Linked DNA regions of Caenorhabditis elegans. The protein of the gene in region 1 interacts with the protein of each later gene in a biochemical or structural test. Each region holds a gene or a part of one and is shown on either strand. Other genes may lie near its edges.

The links. The genes of interacting proteins can lie anywhere in the genome.
Region 2: the proteins of mep-1 (region 1) and mog-1 form a complex in vitro, tested with the Caenorhabditis elegans proteins (one study listed by BioGRID).

Annotation. Positions count from the first base shown.
Region 1 is NC_003282.8:11,523,034-11,530,932, reverse strand, and holds mep-1 (MOG interacting and ectopic P-granules protein 1), read right to left. Parts: upstream 6,292-7,899; 5' UTR 6,291-6,291; coding exon 6,168-6,290; intron 6,122-6,167; coding exon 5,779-6,121; intron 5,731-5,778; coding exon 4,788-5,730; intron 4,744-4,787; coding exon 4,247-4,743; intron 4,193-4,246; coding exon 3,900-4,192; intron 3,829-3,899; coding exon 3,415-3,828; 3' UTR 2,979-3,414; downstream 1-2,978. Other genes in the region: M04B2.7 (uncharacterized protein), read left to right, coding at 1-55, 102-191; thum-3 (THUMP domain-containing protein), read right to left, coding at 363-475, 525-652, 699-805, 1,242-1,496, 2,052-2,208, 2,416-2,765, 2,812-2,877. UniProt on the Caenorhabditis elegans protein: Has a broad role in development, specifically in the genetic pathway SynMuvB that negatively regulates specification of the vulval cell fate. Required for fem-3 3'-UTR-mediated repression in the regulation of the sperm/oocyte switch.
Region 2 is NC_003281.10:9,950,321-9,958,212, forward strand, and holds mog-1 (putative pre-mRNA-splicing factor ATP-dependent RNA helicase mog-1), read right to left. Parts: upstream 5,896-7,892; 5' UTR 5,893-5,895; coding exon 5,777-5,892; intron 5,720-5,776; coding exon 5,606-5,719; intron 5,563-5,605; coding exon 4,254-5,562; intron 4,180-4,253; coding exon 3,352-4,179; intron 3,182-3,351; coding exon 2,640-3,181; intron 2,583-2,639; coding exon 2,411-2,582; intron 2,183-2,410; coding exon 1,868-2,182; 3' UTR 1,740-1,867; downstream 1-1,739. Other genes in the region: K03H1.11 (F-box domain-containing protein), read right to left, coding at 592-915, 964-1,259, 1,373-1,643; alx-1 (Apoptosis-linked gene 2-interacting protein X 1), read left to right, coding at 7,038-7,252, 7,303-7,892. UniProt on the Caenorhabditis elegans protein: Probable ATP-binding RNA helicase involved in pre-mRNA splicing.

The DNA.
Region 1 (7,899 bases):
AGCAAAATCAGTTCGATGTAACAGTGATGTACTGAAAGCAGTGAATGCAAGTGAAGTAAGTATTAAATCAAATAAAAATATATTTGAACAATTTTTTATAGGTATTATTTCATTTTGCTCAACTACCAACAATCGAAAAAATCAATAATAATAACAATAAAAAATCATTGCACTTCATTCATCGAGTTTAGATTTTCGTGATTCCTCTCATCCATCTTCGCCATTTCTCTTTTCAAACCGGTGTCTTCTATTTGATCATGTTCACTTTTAAATTTTGTGCCTTTTATGTGAAACCAGCCAATGAATTTTTGATTTATTCATTGAATTTTATAAACAAAACAAGCATGTTAAAAATTTGAAATCTAATCAGATTTTCTATTTATCATGCAGATACAAAGACATGATAATCCACCAACGTTGACAACATGAGACGCGTCAGTTTGCCATGAAGACCGATCTTTTAGGAATGAGTTTTCTACAAATATTAAATAATTATTCTGGTTTTTAAAGTTTTTTCACAATACCTAAACTCCGTTTATCATGAGTCATCAAGACTAATCGTCCACCTTTCCTTAAAACTCGTTTCCATTCTGCGAGAAGCCTCGGGTACAGTAACCTGTTATCTGTGGTACTTCCTATCTTCTTGCCAAATCTGAAATATAAATGTTTTTAAGTGGAAAAATCGTTGAAATGATTACGGTAGATCCGTGACAAGTGCATCGATTGAATTATCGCGTAGTGGAAGATTTGTAGCATCCCAAGTGAGAAAGTCGCAGTTTGATCGGGAGCTCGATGAATTCGCCGACTTAAAATATTTATTATTTAAAAATGGCAAATTTTCAATTGTGGCTAATCTACTCATTTTTGAAATAATTTCGACACAAATTCTTCGTTTTGCTTCTAATTTAAAAAAACAACTATTTTTCCGGCAAATCGGCAAACCGGCAATCTACCGAAAAATTTTGGGAAACTATGGTTTTGCACATTTTTTGTGAAATTATGGAATTTCAATTTTAACAGGAAATGTTTTAAAAAGGCACAGTTTTATCCCTCTAAAGACTTTCGGCAAATTGATGTTCGGAAAACGGCAAATCGGCAATTTGCTGAATTTGTCGACAAAAAATTGCCGAACGCCAAATGCGAGACGAAACGAATAATTTACGCCGAAAATGATAAAAACACGGAAATGGGCGGAGTTTCGAGACGAACCCGCGGTAATTCAAATTTTCGTTTTTTCTTACCCAATTCTGTAGACATCTGCTCATTGCCATCTCATGATTATCTCCACCCAAAAATAATGAATTTTTCCATGAAATTGCCCCTTCAATCGGAATAGAGCCACCTCCACACATTGCATCGACAATAATATCTCCTGGTTTTATATCAGCTAATTGAAGCATGCAATGACACATTGTAGATCTCATTGTAGTTGGTCCATACGCACAGATATTACGTTTGAATAGAGATTCTTCGTTCAGAGCCATCATTACTGTCATCTGAAAATATGAATGAATTAGAAGAAATTCAAAGAAAACAGCTGACCAGAAATTCTACAAAATGAGCCAGCGTGGAATATTTTCCCAATTTTTTTCATTAAAAGTTCTTGATAGAATACTGTATTTAAAAAATTTGATTTATCTGAAAATTTTTTCCAACTAAAATGCTAGCTATTTTCAGATAAAGCAAATTCCTAAATTTTAATGAGAGATATTGGGAGCAAGGGTGCGAAAATTTTTCGATTTTTCAAATATCGAAAAATTAAAAAATGTATTTTATCGTTTTTTCGATTTTCAAAAATTATCTTAATATTTTGGTCATTATTCCTCTTTTTAGAAAATTTTTATGTTTTTTCTTATCTAAATATCAATATATTAGATTTTAAAAAAAATCATATTTTATGGTTGATTTTCTGAATTTTTTTTTTGGTTTTTGAAAATCGAAAAATCAAAAATTTTCGTTTTTCGATTTTCACTGAAAAAAATCGAAAAATTCCACCATTGATTGGGAGAACACTATCTCATTTTGTAAAATTGCAGGTACACCGATCTTACATTATTCCGATCAATCCTTAATACTACTTCTATATCGAACTCTTTGACACTACATTTCCAACCAAAAGCATTATTAATTTCAGCTCCAAACTTCGAAGCAGCATCCATTGAACTGAATTTGTGAATCTCTTTCTCTCCACATCGTTTGCATGTTACTCTGAAAAAAAAGTCATCATAACTTTTGAAAAATAAAAATTATTAGGAAAAAAAATAATTGAAATTTTATTTCAAAACTAAAATTTTGAATTGTAATTTTTGTGAGATGTACCAAATTTTTTCAGTTTAAAACCACAATAAAATTTCGAATTTTTAATTTTTTTTGAAAATTTTAATAAGGATTTTTGATATTGATTTCAAAAATTACCTAAACTTGGGTGAATCGTCCGTAACTTCACTATATATTCGATCTTTTTTAAATTGTTGAATCTGTTTCAAAATCTTTTCACTTCCTCCGTTAATCGCGTTTCCACGTGCCAATTGATAAGCTTCAATTGCCAATTTCCAGTTACAAAATGAAATTTGCGATTGAATAGTTTTCAATGCATCTTCTTTTTGCATTTCAGACAGCTTTTCAATTGTTTCTTCATAAAAAACCATATAAAGATTATCGATTGATCGAAGTTGCAGAGTCTCGTTTACACGTTCCAGATCTATTGAAAATCTTACATTTCCACGTCCTGGATGGCATTTTTTAGGCGAAAATAATTTTGAAATCTGAAGGAACTCGAGTAAGATATTTTATCTAGTTTTCAGGATTTACCTCTTTTGCTGCAACTTTTTCAAAACCGGTGATGACAGCAGCACAGATTTCAACGGAGTCTGTCATTTGTCTGAATATCTTTCGTATCTGTTGAAATAGATTCCTCCAAATATTATGAGAAAATCTGAATCTTATTTCTGAAAATAGTTTCAAAAAGAATGGTTTGTAAAGGTGATAATATTTATATGATAGATATCTTCCAAAAATCTTAACTGGACAAATGGTAAAAAAAGTATGAGATGGGGGAGAACAACAGACGTATGAAGTGAAAGTGTATACTGATCTGTCTTATGGGGAATTGCAATTTGATTTTACATGATAATTGTGGGGTAGTTAGGTTTTGAAAAAAAAATAGGGAGTTTTGAAGGTAGGGGAAGATGCGAGAATAAACCAGATATCATGAAGAGAAAAATTGGGGAAATAAAGTAAAGTACTGATTGATTTCGGTTCCGGAACCCGCAATAGAATGTGTATATCAATGAAAGTGGGAGAACTGGTGATTTAAAATGATTGAATGTAAAGAATAAGAGAAATAATTGAGATCATTGTGAAGAATGTTTCCAGCACTCATTCGTAGAACGGGATAAGCCATTCGTTTTCCTATTAATCATCCAGAGTAATACAATCATCTTTTTTTGCTGGTGTTGATGTCTTCTTATCTCCTTTTGGGTGATTTGAAGTGAGATGGGCTTCCAGAGTCTGATAACTCGAGCATTTGAACGCGCACACATCGCACGAGTACATGATTTCAGCCGAGCACAACTTCACTTGATGATCAGCTACCAAGTGTTGAAGCATGTTGAACGCATAGTTCTTGCCGCATGTCTTGCATCGACCTCCGTCTTCCTTCTTTTGCGCTTTGAGGAGCAGATCAGCAGTGACGAGACCATGCGACATCACCAAGTGCCGCTCCAACCCTTCATAAGTCCAGAATCTGTCACGGCATCGAGAACATGCCAGTGGAGCTCCTTGCGACATGTCCTGCAGCACTTTTCCAACCATCTGCTTATGAGTAGTCTGAAAATGTGATGTTTAAGATATTTAATAATCGGTTTTGAAATTGAAATAGAAACGTTTCTTAAAATTACCTGAAGATGCTGTAGATACTTCTCCTTTTCCTGCACTGACGCATCACAAATTTCGCATACAAACGTGGGAGCTGAAGAAGAGCCAACAGTAGCATGAGACGGCGTAGTAACAAGTTTCGAACTTCTGTGTGTTGGCGTCTTTTGACTGTTCTGGCTTCTCATGGAGTTCACCGCAGCCTGAAGTTGTTGAGCTCCTTGTTGCGACTTCAAAGCTGCCATTTGCTTTTGGAGAAGTTGAGAAACTGCCAGCGAATTTCCTTGTTGACCACCTCTACGCAACGACGCTTGCATTGCTGAAATATAAATAATTATACAAAATACTTATTTAAAATATGTTTAGCTATTACCTGCAATCAGAGTGTTATGATTCACATTTCCTTGATTCTGCTGTGCACGTTGAGCCTGCGCTGATTGTTGTTGCAGCAGTTGAGCCACTTGCCGGAATTGGGCCGCTTGCTGTTGCTCACGAAGACGAGCCTGTTGCTGTTGTTGTTGCTGTTGTAATTGTTGCTTCCGTAAGAGTTGCGCAGCGGCTGCAGCTTGTGCTGCTTGCTGTTGATGCAGAAGTTGCTGTTGCTTCTTTTGTTGAGCTTGCTGAAGAGCAGCTTGTTGCTGCTGTTGAAGAATGCTGGGATCCAATTGGGGCCTCTCCCAGAGCCATCTGTTGATATAGAGATGATCGTCTTGCTTCGGCATCATGATGTTTCGAATGCGAATGTAGTCCTTCTTGCACTGCTTGTAATGCTGCTCACGGACACCTTTGAAATTGAAGTCTTCTTCGCAGATTGCACATGGATACTTGGACTCCTTCTCTTCCGATTTTGCAATAACAAGATGAGTTTCGCTGTAATTAAATGAATATTGAAAGATGAAAAAAAAAAAACTTACAAGTAGTGATCCTTCATTCTTTGCTCACTCGTGTCCGTCTCTTTACACATGGTGCACTGGAATTTGGATCCTGTGAAGTGCAAATTCTCCTTGTGAGTGCTCATAACCAGCTTTGATTCCGTCTGGAATCCACAGACGTCGCATCGATGCATTTTCAACTTGTACGGCTCATTTTTGCGTTTCAATGTCTCCCAAACTGGTTTCAACTGCGCAGCGACTTGCTTATAGGTTTCAAGATTTTTTGGCACCTCTGGAAGATTCTTCGCGTGAACTATATCACAATAGGTAGCTTCTTGAACGAGATCCTGTCCAATGTCCACGAGCAGTTTTGTCATATTTGGAACAGGATTATGTTGTTTCAGCTGAGCTCTCTCTCGTTTCTCGGAATCACTCAACTTTGGTCTTTCTTCTCCAAACATCCTGTTGATAACCTTCGTCAAAGGCATTTCGGGATCGTGCTCAATCAATAAGTCGCAAACTTGACTTGGTGGGAATGATATTGTGTTTGGGAGAACGAGAACTTTGTCCAGGATCAGCTTCCGAACCGACAGAGGCTCCTTTTGAACTTGCGCATTGATTGCTCCGAGAAGAGTGTCCAGAACTTTTCGGCTTTTGCTGGATGGTTGATCCTTCTGCTCCTTCACATACTCTTCCAGCTTGTCGAGCAATCTCTTCTGCGCCTGCTCATTGTTGTCCTCTTCTGGAACGCTTGTCGCCTTGACATCATCAATTTTAGCTTTTTTAGCTGGGGCAGGGGTAGAAATTTCCTGAATCTCGTCATCATCGTCGTCGTCGAGTTCGATGCATTCGACAGGCCGCTTCACACCCTTCCCATTCTGTTCGACAGGCATTGAAGAATCTTCTGGCTCTTTCTCTGTAGCGATCTCAGTTGTTCCGTTTACGGAAGGTTCTGGCTCCTCTTCATCTAGCACCTCCTCAGTAACTGAAAATAGAAAGTTAAAATTAAACTTGGTAAAATTATAAAACACACCTGTTCCGTTGGCAGTATCCTCCGACTTTCCGTTCGGCTCCTCAGTGATTTCCATAACATCGCCATCATCGTCTTGTTCAATCTCAGATGATGCCACAGTCACTTCGGAAGCCCCCTCATCCTTTTTACGCGCTTCCTCTTCGATTGGAACCGATGTAGATGCAGCATCACCGTTTTCATCAGATCCATCAGGTGAGGGATCCGTAGACTCTTCGGTGTCATCTATCTCGATCACTTCCACGTCTGCAGATGCCGCTTCCTCTTTTCCGTTCTCTTGATTTCCGTTGACTTCGGAACCATTCGCCGCGTCGGCCATCACTTCGCGCTGTTCTGCCTTCAGCTGCTGAAAACGTTTTATTCAGATTTAAATTCCCAAAACTTTTCCTCACCTCAATTGTGTCTGGCTCCGAATCTGAGGACGATTCACCAGCGCTTCTCGGATCCGTTGGTTCCACAGACATGGAAGTGGTGTTGGTCGTTGTGGCGAGTACCGTCTCGTCGGCGGTGACCATTCTGGAAAAATAGAGTCTAGATAGTGAGAAATAGGCAAAGAGAGAGTGATGAGAAGGAAGCAAATTAGGACAGTTACAGTCGGAGAGGTGGGAGATTCAAACTGGTAGGAATAAAATGCGCGCGCGCGGCAAGCCAGATTTGAACGCACAAGAGAACCAGCTGTGGTAAGTGACTGAGTATCAAACGTGGTACGCAGCCAAATCGGCCTCTCTCCTCCCCTTCCTCGGCCGCTGGTCGCAGCCGCCGACGCTGAGAAGAAGGGTGAGCAGCACTCGTCCTGCTCGCATGCGTCTCTTCACTGGCAGTACTCTCTCATCGGTCCGTCCTGGTATTCCGCGTCGGGAGCGTCAACAGAATCATGCTTCAATCACCAAAAAATAAGCCGGGCAACTTGTAGCAATTGGAATTTACAAACACATTTTGTTAGAGCGCTGCGTACTTCATTATGATTCATCCGAAAAGTTCATCAAAATGATTTACTGTAACGATAAAGGCAGATAAATTTAAAACAGTTAATTTTAAAAGTTCAAGCACGCAACCTAATTACACAATCTGATATATCCATTATACTGATTCTCAAAGCGAATAAACCGGGGCTCACTATTAATTACGAAAACCGAAAAGTTTGAACACGTCCCACCCGGGCGGTGCGGATGGCGACGGCGCGGTGTGTGAGGCGAAATGATGTGTGTATGTCATGAGTGTGTGAGCGTTCCGTGAGCGCATGAATGAGTGTTTTGTGAGCGTGACGTGCGTGGCGACGGGTTGTTGTGGTCTCGCCATCATAACCTTAAATGGTCTAAAAATTCATAACCGCCATTGTCGGTTAGGCCGGGTGCTGTCTTTATGGGCTGCGAACTATCTTCTACCAGGAAGACGCCCGTTCCTAAAACTTGAGAATCAGCTAAATATTTCTATAGCGTTTTCTAGGAAATTTCTACAGGCCTTAAATATAAATTCCGATTAAACATTAAACGAAAATCTAAGATGTTGAAAGGATCGTGTTAGGATCAGCGCTATATCAGCTGGAAGTGTGAATTCCTTTGCATCTAGAATACAAATGATAGTAACCTGAACTAAATTCGGTGCATTTCAATTGAAGTTGGCGTCTTTCTTCATTCTCAAGTTAAATCGAATTCTCGTAGGTTTGTAAATTTTTGATAAAAATTAGAACCTGATTTCGTAATTTAGGTTTCTGTGAGATTCAGCAGTTCTAGGATACATTCGAAAAGTTTGTGAGAGAAAAGTTATGACTATTCATGTTTTGAAACGATAATGACCTTATAATCATGAGGATCAACATTTCTGAGGATATACTACTCGCTGGGCACTATAAACTAATGGAAAAACTGCATTTCTGAAAAAAAGTGACACAATGAAGAAAGATATTTGCAAGATCAGTCAATGTGGGATTGACACCGTTGTATTTATTAATTGAGTATTTCCTCGGGTCTCGCCACGAAATCGCAACAGGTGCAGTTTCGATAGCAAGGGAGTGAACGTTGGTTCTCAGCCACACATTCGCTCAATTTGAAATTTTTGTGTTTTCAAGATTCAATTGCAGCTAAATAGAGAACCGAATATTCATTCTCGACGGGTTACTGTATT
Region 2 (7,892 bases), on another chromosome or scaffold:
TTGTGTTGTGTCCACGTTATTATCGGAGCTGGCATCGTGTGGTGTAATAGGAAAAGAGAATTAGACGGCAAAGGTTTGAAAAGACGGAATGAATCTAAAAAATGTGTTCATTATTACTAGTTTTTACATATTAAGAATAGACACATAGTTTTAGAATAATACAATTGAAGGTACACCAGGAATTTACAATTTTAAATACATAGTATTACACAGAATCGAAAACGTGCGATTTTAGCTCCACAAAATATTTACCAGGTCTCGAAACGAATTAAATTCAGAAAAGCGTGCGCTTTTAAGGAGGTTACTGTAGTTCACAACTCTTTTTTATAGCAGAATTTGCATTTTATTCAAACTTTGATATATTTCAAAAAGTTCTCACATGTTATTAATACATTTTAAAGATACTATAGTACCCCTTAAAGGCGCGCATGAGAAAACCAGTCGATTCGAGACCGGACACCGTATTTTCGGAGCTAAAATTACAAGTTTTCGAATTTAAGTAAACTGAACGGGTAATGTACAAATACTACAATGCTTTTTTAAGCTATGGAACTCTTTTTCTTGTTCAAAAGACCAAGAGAACATAAAATCTCAAACAAAAATTAATACACATTTCCTGCTCGAGTGGAGAGCAAGAACAGCCGGCTTATCGTAACCAAGAGGAACAACAACTGGCTTGAGACTCCATTCAGCAGATTGTGATCCAAAAAGTGGAGATCTCATAAAGTTTTGAAGTTGATTCGCATCGAATTCAGTATTGTCCATGTGCACATCAAGTTTGTCGGATAGACGAAATGCGGTCGATTCGATGAATGGAAGAGCCGATAGAGTGGTAACTCGTGGGCAGTCGGAGATCCTGAAGTACGCAAGATTCGGGCATGAACGGGAAACGCGTTGGGAGAAGTGATCTGTGATCTGAAAATTCAATTGTTATTGAGATTCCTTTAAATGTATCATATTCACCTGTGAAGTCCCTTTCAAATCAATTTGAGTAAGAGTCTGGAAAGATGCCTGAAAGCATCTGAGCAACTTTGCTTCAGTGTCACCTCCCAAATTGCATCCTTCAATCTCAACTTTCTCAAGCTTATCATAACCAGCAAGTAAAGCGAGAGTCCATGTATTTATTCGTTCCAAATCAATTTCAGATAGTGCCAGTTGCTTTAGTGGAGCATTTTTTGTCAATTGGAGCAGTTGAGCTAGCTGTTCATCAGAAATCTCGTCGCCGACTAATTCATTTTCCAATTGAAGGGAATGAATTTCTGAAAATCAAATTGGCAATTATACTCGAGAATTGAATGATTTTTTTTTAATGTTTCAATTTGTATCCAAACAGTTAGATAAAAGTAAAATAGACGAATAAGAAAATAAATACCGTTAACTATTTGTGGCATTAGAAAATGTAAAAGTTCTTGAATTTCTTCTCGATTTACTTTTGGAATATGAAGCTCAAATTCGTCTCCATCACATTTTCCATTCAATTTCTCACTTGTGATTCCAATCTTTATAGCACGGATTTTTGGAATCATATCTACGATAACTCTCATCACATCGATATTACTTAAAGCTGAATTAACAAGATCCGTAGGTTTTAACCCTTTATGGATTTCTCGGATGATTTCCAATGGCATATCACCGAGAATCATTCTGAAAATTTTGTTCTGAGTTTTTTTTGTTGTTGAAAAACATACAGTAAAAAAGGAAATGTACCGAAAGTGGGAAAAATTGAAAAAGGTAAAAATAAATATAAGGTTTATGGAATAAACTTCTGAAAATAAAATTGCAACAGAGTATATAGAAAATCGAACTGGAGTATTAACAGTGACACCCGATTACACGAGAAAATAAGACAGAGAAAGAGAGTAATTGATCAAAGACCCCACAGCTTTCTTCTCTCCGATCTGGCCGATTTCGATCCGACTTCAACAACACGCCTGGAAGATTCTGGTCGTTTGAACGCCTTGTCACTTTCTTCCTTCCGCCGTTCCATTTCTTTCTGCGCCTCTCGCATCTCTGCTTCCATCGTTTCAACCGTTCGGACACTCTCCATTTTCAGTTCTTTGCGTGATTGTTTCGATTCTTTGATCGAATAGAACATGGGTCCAAGTTCAGCAAGCCAGATTGCATCGACAGCAGTTACACATTGCATATATTCTTTGGCTGTCATAATCAATTCGTGGTACACCTTAATTTAGAATATTAATTTAAAGTTTAAAGGAATGTGTTTTTGGCGAATAATTTATTTTCCGCTTCTTTTTTTCGAAAAAGAGGATATACTGAAACATTCATAAATTTTTAAGTGTTACTTTTTTTCCAAAAATCATATTCAAAATTTAAAATAGAGTGCAATTTGGCCGAAATATTTGAAATACCGATTCAGCATTTTTTTTTCTTCAGATTCAGCCCTGCTTACCACGTAATCAGGCATGAAACCCATTCCAAAAAGAGCTGAAGTTGGATGAAGGAAGCATGGAATTCCGGTACGAACATTGACATATTCACCAATTCCTTTAAGACGAGCTGCATTGTGGAAATACGCAGAGCAAATGCATTTTCTCACAATATCCCATTCACTTCCGTTTGAGCTGAAATAATTTTATAAAATTGTAGTTCTAAGAAACTTTCAAATAAAAAAAACCTACATCAATGGAAGCTTGAGATCTTGCATAATTTCCTTCAATTGAGCACGAACTTCTCGAACCTTTTTCAAAGCTTTTACGTGTAAATAGTTGTCGGCACACCATTTTGCAGAATATTTGTGTGTTCTCCATTGAATATAGACGTTTAAGAAAGTGAGATGATCCGATTCGGGAACTTGGAACTTTTCTTTCTTGGCATCAGCTTCTTCTTCTCGTCCTTTTGGTCTGAAGAAAATTGCGGGCACTGACAACATCGAAACAATCGTCAGAACTTCATCACTGCATCCCATTTCAGCCGACATAATGAGCATTTTCGACAGAGTTGGATCTAGTGGGAATTCAACCATTTTTCGTCCCATTGGCGTGAGCTGTCCAGTGTTATCGAGAGCTCCAAGAGTCCAAAGTTGATACATTGAATTCAGCATATTGTCCTGTGGAGGTGCATCCATGAAGTGAAATTTCAAAAGATCATCCACTCCGAGAGACTTTAAAAGAAGCACTACATTGGCGAGATTGGTTCTTTGAATTTCAGGTACAGTACTCTTCTGAAAAATAAATTTGTTTTTATTTGAAACAGGGCTGAGCATATATATATATTTTTTAATATATATTTTTAAAAAATAAAATTAAAAATTTGTCGTTTTCGATATTTTTCCCATGAAATTTTTAGCATTCGTCGCTCACTCCAGATTTGTGAGATTCACCTCAAACTTACCAAAAGCTCATCTTTAAATTGTCTTTCAGTATACAAACGATAACACTGTCCTGGTCCAGTACGTCCGGCACGACCAGTTCGTTGATTCGCTGATGCTTGTGACACTGGGAAGATCGATAGAGCATCCATACCGATTCTTGGATTGTACACCTTCATCTTACAGAAACCCGGATCAATTACAAATAGAATTCCGTCGACAGTGAGCGATGTCTCTGCAATATTTGTAGCCACAATTGCTTTCCGCATTCCACCGGGTGCTCTTTGGAAAATCTTGGCTTGTAAGTCACTTGGAAGCTGGGAATAGATTGGTAGAACAGCAAGTGGAGGAGCTTCATCAAGTTCACCAAGCTTCTCTTTGATCATTTCACAAGTGCACTCAATATCTTCTTGTCCTGGCATGAAAATCAAAATATCTCCGTCCATACCACCCAGATGAATTGTAACAGCTTGTTTAACAGCAGCATCCACATAATCTTCAACAGGAGTTCTCGCATGAAACAGTTCGACTGGGAATGTTCTTCCAGGAATTGTAAAAGTGGGACAGTTTCCTCCGAAAAAGTCTGCAAACTTATCAGCATCCATAGTAGCAGAAGTAACGATTAGCTTCAGATCAGCTCGTTTTGCAATCACTTCTCTGAGCAAACCAAAGAGTACATCTGTATTGAGTGAACGTTCGTGAGCTTCGTCCATAATAATTGCTGAATATTGATCAAGACTTCCATCACCAAGACATTCACGAAGCAGAATACCATCTGTCATGTACTTGATTATTGTTTTTTCTGATGTACAATCTTCGAATCGAATCGCGTAACCAACGTCTTGTCCTAGCTGTAAAAATTAAAATAAAATTGTTTTCTTAAAACAGTGGTGAAATACATAATTATCTCAAAAATGAAACTAACATCCACTCCCATTTCATCAGCTACACGTCTAGCAACACTCATTGCAGCGACACGTCTCGGCTGAGTACATCCGATGAGTCCCGAATCACCAAATCCATCTTCAAGTAGGTATTGTGCCAACTGAGTTGTTTTTCCTGATCCTGTTTCTCCGACGATGATAACCACATTATTCTCACGAATCACATTCATCATCTTCTGCCGACACGCAAATACAGGCAAATACTCTCTTTGCTGCTTGATAGACTTTTCCATCGCAAAATCCGAAACTGCTTCATTATCTTTCATGTGAGATGCAAATTGATGAGATTCTTTGTAATTTCCAGAATCATCGTCTTCTGGATCAGCAGTTTCATCTTTTTTCTCTTTAACACCCATCAAATTTCCGAGTTTTGATCCTGCCAACTCCCAATGCTTATCTTGAGCCTTCTTCCTATCTTCAACTTCTCTCCGTTTTCGTACTGCAACACTTCCTCTTGCTGCTGAAACAGCCATATCACATGTTGTATCAACAACCGGAATGATTGGTTGTGCTTGTTTAGTGAAAACAATTCGACCATCAAGGAATGGAGGAACAATGTTTTGAACGAGAATTGTGACACGATTCTCATCAGTTTCATCTTCAAAAATACTTGATAATTCATCAGCCATCGCGACGACTCCTGATCTATGCAGTCGATTGTTCTCCCATAACTCATTCTCTCTTTTGATCGCCTGCTGCTTCACTGTAAGTCTCGGCTTCTGAGTTTTCTCCTGCCATTGCTTTTCTCGTTTTTCCACAAATTCGTCAGAAACCTTATTGAATGGATTATACTCATCATCAAATGCTCCTTCATTATCATACCATTCTCTGTCCAAATTCTTCTGTTCCTCTTCCCATTGAGCTCTCTCTTCGTCATCATGAAATGTGGGCTCTGCTTTTTCTTCTTTAACACTTCGTACCGAATCTTCTGGTTTTCGATGTCTCCGTCTCTTCTCATCATCTCTATTCCTTCTTTCACTTCTCCATGCACTTGAAATGCTTCGTTCCGAATCCATATATCGTTTTCTGTCTCTTTCACCCCGCGGAGTCGGCATATCCCAACTATTTCGTTTTCTGGAAGATCCTTCACGATCATCTTGATCCCAGCTCATTCTGGATGGTGTATCGGGAACTTTAAAGCGAGGAGTCTGATCTCCACTTCGATCTTTCCAACCTCTTCTACTACTCGGCTCTCTTCGTTCTGATCTGTCACGGTCTCGTCTGCGATCATCATCCCGACTTTTGTATTTCATTCCACGGTCGTCACGATCTCGATGCTTCTCATGAACTCTGAAATCATCAATTTACTTCGCTAATTTAATGTTTGAATCACTTTTCAATTCCTTTTCGAACCGATTCCGTGACACCTCGATCGTCATCATCCTCAAGACGTTTTCTGGCGTGTTCCCGCTTTGTAGACGCCAATCTATCGAGCCCAAGCAAGCTTCTGCAATTTAAATTGTTTTTATTTGAAGAAAATTAAAGTATATATTTAGTTACTCACTTCCCGGATGGTTCGGTTGGTTTTGAATCTCCCTCTACTTTTTTCTTTTTAATAACCAATCCACCAAATGTGTCACTGGTTCCTTCGAGGCGGCCATCTGCCCGTTTATCCGACATTTACTAAAAAATAAAGAATTTAAGAAAAACTAATTTAATTTCGAAAAGGAAATCGAAAATAAATAAAAAATAAATAAAAAATGAGAGAGCGAGAGAGAACGCATTATGAAAAGAGACTCAGACTTTTGTGTCTCGATAGAGCGCTCTTTCATAAAAACATTTTTCGCGAATTTTTTGTTTTTTCTTCAATTTTCTCAACACTCTTTCTCTCTTGTTGCATCTTTTTCTTTTCTTTTCTCTCATTAAAGGTTTCCCGGAGGTCTCTTCAAACAAAAAATAGCCTATAAATCAGTAGAAAATCACAATCTACTTCAATGCCACCAGTTTTCACTATTGAATCCGAATTTTTGATGTTCTTCAAATTTCCCTCTGTATCATCAACCACCGATACCCACTTAAACGGTTCAATTTCTATAGATTTGTTTGTTAACTCAAGCGCTTGAGAACCCCGGAAGCAACAGATCGGAGAGCTGAAGTGTTGAAAGTTGTTTCGAGAGAGTGGATTGCTTAGGCCCTAGCTTAAAATAAACTCAATATATTTAGAATTCAAATTGTTATTTCATATCAAATCATACGTTTACTAATTTTGAAATCTATTGATTTTCTTTTTTTCTCACCTCAATTCTATTTGCAACCCGAATTGCGAAATCGAGAGGGGCGGTCACCATGCCGGCAGCATCGATGACTCATCACTCGTATCACGAACGTTATTTGCATTCTAATGTCTGAAATGACGTTTTTCCCTTCTTGTTGAATGATTAGGAGTGTGAATCGATGTGATGAACTTACTTTCTATTACATTTTTCTTGTCCTTCATTAACGAGAAGCTTCGTATTTTCCTATTGCTCACCTCAAATTAAGGATGGAGTGAATTGGCTGGGGATTTTGCGTTAAATTATAGAAAATTGACCCTGCTAACTGAATATAACTGTAAAAATTAAACTTTTACTAAAACTAAACTTTATTTTTGAATTCTCGTAACATCTTCGTGTTTTTTTTGCTAAATTCATTGGTTTTCTTGATTAATGTTTCACATTTTAATTGAAACACAGTTTGTCAAAATTTCAGAAAAATTCTTTAAAGAGAATCTTTCTATTTTATTTTTTTTATTTCTCACTTCAAATTAGTATTAATTTTCTTTCAGAATGGCTACATTCGGCTTTCTCAGCGCACCGCTGAAATCGACTAATGAAGTGGATCTTGTGAAGCCACTTACAAGCTATATCGACAATGTCTACAATACATCCGATAATAACCGCTCAGATGTCGCCGAAGCTGTTCAGGAACTTAATAAACTCCGTTCAAAAGCTTGCTGTCAGCCTCTCGACAAGCATCAAAGTGCTCTCGATGTTTTGACTAGGTAATAAATTTAAAAAAAAAGAATATCTTTGAAATAATTGTTTTTTACAGATATTATGATCAACTCGTTGCCATTGAAAACAAAATTATAATCTCTGCAACTCAAAATCCAGTTGTTTTCAAATGGAAGGATGCATTCGACAAAGGAAGCCTCTTCTCAAGCAGAGCATCCTTATCCCTGTCTGACGGATCCTTTGAACGTGCTGCCGTTCTGTTCAATATCGGATCGTTGATGTCTCAAATCGGAGCTGCTCAACAATTCCATACCGATGATGAAATTAAAGTATCTGCAAAACTATTCCAACAATCTGCTGGAGTATTCGCCCGTCTTCGTGATGTTGTTCTCGGAATGGTTCAACAGGAACCAACTCCTGATCTCATGCCAGATACACTTGCTGCTCTTTCTGCATTAATGACTGCTCAGGCACAAGAGGCGATCTATATTAAAGGCCACAAGGATAAGATGAAGGCTACATCAATGGTCAAAATATCTGCTCAAGTTGCCGAATTTTACTCGGAAGCACAAAAAATGATGTCTAAGGATATTGTTCGAGGGCTATGGGACAAAGATTGGAGTGCCATCGTTAGTGGAAAAAATCTCGCCTACCAAGCACTCGCCCAGTATCATCAATCAGAAGTGT